2 linked regions of the Kluyveromyces lactis genome follow. The protein of the gene in region 1 interacts with the protein of each later gene in a pairwise test. Links are inferred from orthologs where the notes say so. Each region holds a gene or a part of one and is shown on either strand. Other genes may lie near its edges. The genes, in order: APL4 and APS1.

The links.
Region 2: the proteins of APL4 (region 1) and APS1 interact in binary tests that used the Saccharomyces cerevisiae proteins (3 or more experiments, as listed by UniProt). The link is inferred for Kluyveromyces lactis from reciprocal best matches to the Saccharomyces cerevisiae genes APL4 and APS1.

The regions. Positions count from the first base shown.
Region 1 is NC_006041.1:592,949-597,460, reverse strand, and holds APL4 (AP-1 complex subunit gamma), read right to left. Parts: upstream 3,101-4,512; coding exon 698-3,100; downstream 1-697. Other genes in the region: YOP1 (Yop1p), read left to right, coding at 28-519; ECM21 (Ecm21p), read left to right, coding at 3,676-4,512. UniProt on the Saccharomyces cerevisiae protein: Adaptins are components of the adapter complexes which link clathrin to receptors in coated vesicles. Clathrin-associated protein complexes are believed to interact with the cytoplasmic tails of membrane proteins, leading to their selection and concentration.
Region 2 is NC_006042.1:2,118,581-2,121,014, forward strand, and holds APS1 (Aps1p), read right to left. Parts: upstream 1,157-2,434; coding exon 686-1,156; downstream 1-685. Other genes in the region: KLLA0_F22792g (uncharacterized protein), read left to right, coding at 203-565; DPH5 (diphthine synthase), read right to left, coding at 1,549-2,434. UniProt on the Saccharomyces cerevisiae protein: Component of the adapter complexes which link clathrin to receptors in coated vesicles. Clathrin-associated protein complexes are believed to interact with the cytoplasmic tails of membrane proteins, leading to their selection and concentration.

The sequences.
Region 1 (4,512 bases):
TTAATATACTAACCAATTCTAACTTAGAAATTCGCTGGTAATCAAATTTTGTCTCGTATTGAAGCTCAAACAAAATTGCCAAGATCATATGTTATCGTTGGTCTTGTTGCTGTTTACTTTCTCTTAATTTTTATCAATGTTGGTGGAATTGGTGAGATTTTATCCAACTTTGTTGGATTCTGTATTCCAACATACTATTCTTTGAAAGCATTGAAGACTGCCACATCAACGGATGACACACAATTGTTAACTTATTGGATTGTTTTTTCGTTTTTGTCTGTGATCGAGTTCTGGTCCAAGGCTATTTTGTACTGGGTTCCATTCTACTGGTTCTTTAAGACTGTTTTCTTACTGTACATTGCCATTCCATCATTCGGCGGTGCCCAACTTGTTTACACGAGGTTGATTTCACCATTCTCTGACAAATACCTACCTATCGTGGAAGGGAAATCGGGAGAACTGGCCCAGAAAGTCGAAGCTGCTGCCAACAACGCTAAGGCTTCTGGATACTCCCGTTAAATTCTTCTTAGTTGAAAAATCACCCTCTGGTCCAATTTTCTTTTGAGTTCGCTTATTTGATTGCGGAAATGTGAACTCGTACCGGTGTTTATCGACATAGATCCCTTATCTACATGATGTGATTGTTATATCGTTTTATAGTTTACACAATATTACTTTAAGGCATCTTTAACGCTCGTTAATGGGGGATGTTTTCAAATTTATAATCGAATTGATCCTCGGTGGAGTTGATATTCAATTTGACCCTTAGCTTGATTTTCCCAGATCCTAGAATTTTAAGACCCTGCTTAGCTACTTCACCTGTAGCTACCTTGTGGCTTGACAGAGATCCGAATTCTGCCTTCTGTGATTTAGGAACAGCGATTAGGATCTGTAAGGTATTAATATTCGTTTTAGCTTTCAAGAATAGGTCTATTTCAGTACAACCGGGGATTGACGATTCTACTTTACCATAAACTTCAACAATATCAGATGAGTGGATATTGATAGAGTTTGGTGGTATTTCTATGCGTTGTTGGAAGGATGATGATAAAGTTGACCCATTTTGATTTGATGATTGGGGTGCTGGAGTATTGCTCAAGTTAGATAATAGATCATTAGAAGGTTTTGTAGGCGCAGTAGTTTCTGGAGTAGAGAGATCTCCTAGTAAATCTAGAAGAAGATCATTTTCCTTCTTTTTCACTTTCTTAATAGCTGGTGCAGGTACTTTCTGAGAGAAGGTTCTTAATGCAGCAGTCTCTGAGACCTTTTTATGGAAAATGGGCATTGGTTCAAGTAACGCAGCTTTAACACTTGTAGACTCATTGAATAATATTCCATACTGGACAGCCTTTGTTTGAATCATGACGTTGGTGTTTTCCGTGTGGCCTTTAATTAACTGCCTCAATCTATTGGATAGCACTTTTGTATCAATCTTTACAGATAGCTTCAAAGCAGCCAGCAAAACATAGCTTGTTACCATAGGGTTATCACAGTACAAGCTATCGGATTCATATAAGTAACCTGTTAAATTTGTTTCTGTGCATCTGCCATTACCTAAAATCAGATCAGCGTATTCACCGATGCACCAAATCGAGACAACTCTCCATGCTAAATTTTCGTCTGAGACTTGGCTAGAGTCATTATCCAATGCTACGTTGATAATGTTAGAAACCACTTGCTTCTTATGTTCCAGGTTCGAATTATTGTTAATCATAATTAATGCATCAGTAGTCTTCTCAACTGAAATATATTGGCCAACAAATTTCAATATTTTAACTATGACATCCAGTTTCCAGGAATCATCTATTTCATCTTGAAGATCGAAAACCATTATAAGTTGATCTACACAGTACAATATTAGTCCTTTATCGTTTTCTCCTGCTTTTTCTAAGAACGTAAGAATCTCTGCGATCAATTCCCTCATATTTGTTTGGTTTAAAATTGCGAACGTCATCTCAAGAGCCCTCTTTTTGATTGAAATATCAGAATCAAAGATACAACGTGAGATAAACTTTCTATGCCTTTGGACCGCCTGTGGCTCTACCGAAACAACATCTAACAATGCGTTTAATGAAACATATTTTGTGTTGTAATCCTTGTCTGCAACTAGATTACCCAACACGTTGACACCTAGTACTCTCAAGGAGCGCTCTGCTTGGAATGAAAAAATAGTGCGCACTGCCTCGTATAAGACTGAAGTACAACTATTCGAAGTAGTTGGAGTGTAAGTTGCAACTCGGGTCAATGTATCCAAGTAGTTATTCTTGTAAGGCTTAGTTTGCTCAGGGAAGTACTGCAAGAACAAACGTAATGTAGTCATGAGTTCGACTTGTAAAAATGGATCGAGACAACCGCCAACGTTATATTCTGGGTTGGACGATCCTAAATTCAAATGGTGTAGTTTTCCTAAGAGATCAGGTATCAAGGAGGATAGTTTATCAATGATCTCTGGTAGATTATCAAATTCGTACGATTTGGTATTGATGATGATTGCCTGGATCAATTTGTTGGTACCAATTAGAACACCATGGCTAGTAGATTCTTTACTCGAAAGCATCTTGTTAGCGTAAGGAGCGAAAATTTCCAAAAGGGATGGATCCCTCGCAATAAGTTTTCCAGAGCATGCCAACGCCTTTTTGATCAGAAAACTGTCCCTGGAATGCTCTAGAATATTTTTGATATCGGTATACAAATCACGAGCCAACTCTGGAGAAGTCAAAGCGCCCAATGCGTTGATTGCTAACGAAACCACATATCTCGATGGATGATTCAAATCGTTATTCAAAAGATTGGTCAAAAGAGTCAACAATTCCTGATTCTCATCCAATAACAAAACTGCAGCAAGATATCCAACTCTCTTATCGGCGAAGTCTTCAGAAGCAATTAAGTTTATACACTCTACCTGGGCAAAATGTGTCTTTTCTCCCAAGATATACAAATATAACAGCTTGTTAATGTACTTCCTTCTCCTTTCCAGTGAAATATGATCATCCTTCAACTTGGTCCTGATCCTTGCTGATTCCTTGGTAACGATTGACCTTTCTTCAGCCAACGTTTTCGCGGCCCTGACTTCCTTAATGAAAGTCCTCAATGAACCCATTGTTTCTACTTATGTTTCCCAACAAACAAAAAATTGCTAAAGCTCTTTGCGCACCTATATACAACTTATAGTTGAAAACACCACACGCACGCACACTCCCAGCGTTAATTGCAAAAGTTACAGATACCGTGTACGCTGTTCTCAGTTGTCAAGCCCAGTATACGTTACATGTATTTATAGCTATTCTTGTTTATAGAACTGTCCTTTCCAGATTTCGAAATCATGGAAATTATTTATGGCCCCCAAACCTGATTTCTGGGCCCAAGGAAGTTTTTAATGAAAAAGAACCCTTCAAATCTGAAATGTAAATAGTTCATACCAACTAAGTAGGCTGATGATTAACATAAATATAATCCGATGTTTCAGCAGGGAGAGCAAAGTCTAATCTATTCAGCTTAGTGGGTTAGCGAATACATATAGTATTGTGGTTTTTCCTAAACAAGAACTTCACACTTTGGTCACTTTTAAAGTTATTTATTTATTGATCATTTGGTTCTTTTTGCATCCAAGGTAAGTAACCAAACCCTTTTGAGAGATAAGCTGAGATTTTACAGGTCCACGACGGTTGGAAGATAATGTCATTTTTCAGTTCACATCTGGGGTCGTCCTCTGGAAAGCAGAAGGATGGGAATAGGAAAAGATCTTCGTCAATCAAGCAAGCATTTGCATCCATCTTAGGAGCTAGCGGGTCAAAAAGTAGTGGTTCTACCCTTTCAAGGTCAAACAGTAATGGACGTTCCGCAAGTGTACCAAGCTCTAATAGCGCTCGTAGGGCATCTTCCAGACGGCCCAGTGGCGCATATGGCACTTCTGCTATGCCTGCAGGATTCAGTCCGATGATGGCCTTTGGAACGCCGTATTCTATCTATGGATATCAAGATTACGGAGCCCCACAGAACGAATTAGCGATGTCTTCGGAAGAAGGAACTGATAACGAAATTGACGAGGATCAAGGAGATAGCAGTCTGTTGGATTATAGCCTTGGAGGCAACGATTCTGATGGAGACCTAGGCAATGACATCTACACATCATCTTTACAACCGAGCAGATTTCAGAGTCAGCCTAATCGTAGAATGTCTAATGATGACGAACGTGGTGGACCTTTCTCTGTGGTAAGCGATGATGAAGATGATGATGAATATGACGGTCCAGACAATGAAAACGATGGAGATGATGAAGGTGATGATGATGACTTTGAGGAGAATTGTTTGGGCAGGAGGATTACAAGGGTATCGACCGCTTTCAGTGCGACTGGTTCGCAGATCAGCAACACCGTCGTGAACAGGAAAAAAACTGCCAAAACGTGTTTGCTAAATTACTTGGCTGACCGTGGATTATTAAGACCAAGACTTCTTTCTTCGAAGAATGGTGTTACCTTCCACGTTGCCACTTCCGGTGATAACATATTTTTA
Region 2 (2,434 bases), on another chromosome or scaffold:
AAGAAAGATCAGGCAGGGGAAAGAAAGCGCATCGCATTCTGTGGCGTGGGTATATAATAAATAAATAACTGGATCGTTTTTGGTGAAATAGATCTATCTCAGACAAGCCAACATTGTTCCGAAGTATTGACCAAAGCAGAATATATAGTGATTCAAGAGATTGCTACGAACTATAGAAGGGGTTTTAACTAGAAAGAAAGTAATGACGCTAATAAAGATGTTTGCAGCTAGACAAGCCATAGGAAGATTTGCATTGATACAGAACAGAAACTTTCATGCTACGCCGATGAGATGTTATAAAAAATGGAATGAACTAAAGAAGGATGATAAGCAGGAGTTCATCAAGAATTTCGTTCTTTTGTACAAAGAAAAGCATCCATGCAGTAAGAGTAACGTAATGTACAGGGCGTTGGCCAGTGAAATGGATGAATACGATGATACCCCATACGTATTTGGTGTTTTGTACAATGAGATTAGGGCTGTTGAAAAAGGCGAATCTACTGATAACGAGAAAGGTGTAGGTGCGATGGGGGATGCAGATTTTGTAAAACTATTGTACAAGTAGAATTGTTGAGTTTCCGTACATAAAGAAAGAAAGGATAATATATTGTACATATTCACAATTTAATTTAAATTTCTATTCATCTCGGTCAGTATCACGTCAATTGCTTGAATGCATGCATTCTCAACTCAATACCCTATCAAGGTCATCATTTGATTCAATTGCATCCATGGCCTCCACAACATGTATAACTTCATCTTTACTAGTTTCTATTATAGATCCGTCACACATTATCATTTCATCCAATATGCTGTATGCCTTGCTAAAATTGAATATGATATCTAACTCGCAGACGTTCCCAAAATATCTATCCATAGTTTCCACAAATCTGTGTATAATTTCTAAAGTCAACAATTCGTTGTCCGAATCCAAATCAATCCCTGCAATGAAGTATAAACTGGCATATTTCTTGTACACGACTTTGTGATCTTGATATTCTAGAATATTGCACATTTTTGACTTCCTGGACAGTACGTTAGTCGTCACTTCCCTTAGTATTTTATGCTTGTACTTTATATCGAAGGGTTGATACCATCTGATTAACCTAGTCTTGCCTTGCCTCGACGTGAGAAGCATGTACTTAATCTGTGACATTTCAATGACCTTTTTTGTTTATAACGAATAGGATAGCTTTTGTCTCTTAAGCTCGGTGGTTGTGGTATTTAATGCCCTTGTTAATCGTTTATCCGTAGTTTCTCGGATACACCAATTGAAAAGTTGTAGAGCTGAATAATAACCTTAATTTTAAAACATCAACTGGGACAGAATTAGACTTAAACTTTGATTCTAGTGACCTGTTATTCTTTGTTTGTTTTCTTTTGCTTACATGCTGATTCATTCGATTCAGTTACGTTATTACATTCATGTTATATTAATAGTTAATATAACGAAAAATGAGAATCACCGCAGACGACTTTGCATGAAGCTGAAGAAGCGGATACACAAAGGATACATGCAATATATAATTTACATATCCATGACCTGGCCTAATCTTCATCTTCTGGAGGTGGAACCCATGCTGGTGGTTTGAAATATTCTTGATCACTGGCGACATCTTGCTTGAATTTTTCTCTATCGTCACAGAATTCGAGCAAATACTCGATTTCCAATTCATGGGTTTGCCTACCGAGTATAACTAAAGAATGCAATGGTTCACCAGAATCATATTCGGCTAGCTCTTTGATGGTACCTGCTTTGAAGGTTTGGCTTGCAGAACCTAGTCTTGAGATTGCTACACAGGGAGTATCAGGAGTATATGCCTCAGTGCCTCTTGTTTCTTCAATTTCCAATAGTTGTTCACAACATTGTGCAATACTCATGTATCTTGGAGGCTCATAAATGAGTCTTCCACGAGCCATATTCTCTATACTCTGTTCCTTCACTTTGATATCTAGAAGAACCAAGGTGTGCAACCCGATTTTCCGGTTTTCCCATATCTTGTCGTACCAGGAATCTGGTCTCCAACTATCGGTGAAAAAGACCATAGAGATCGTTTGACCAAAATTGTATAGTTGCAACCCACATGATCCTACTGCATTCATAACAGACGCGTTATGGATGACTTCTACTGGAATATTCCTTTGCTTGGCACGCAACACCAAGTCAGTATGAGTGGTGGCTCCAAAAACGTCACCGACAACCAAAAACGCAACATCTTCTTTATCGGCATCACGGAGAAGTTCTTCAGCTCCCGATTCGACAAGTTCCCTGTCAGCTAGTGTAACTTTCTTGCCATAAAATTCCTCTAGTTCTTCTAGAGAAGCTGTCATCAATATGGAAGTGTAGTGCTCCAAGTACACTCTCGAACATTGCTTGATGGCATTCAAGCCTCTGACGGTGATATCTGTTTCGTAAGAAAGACCTAATCCAATA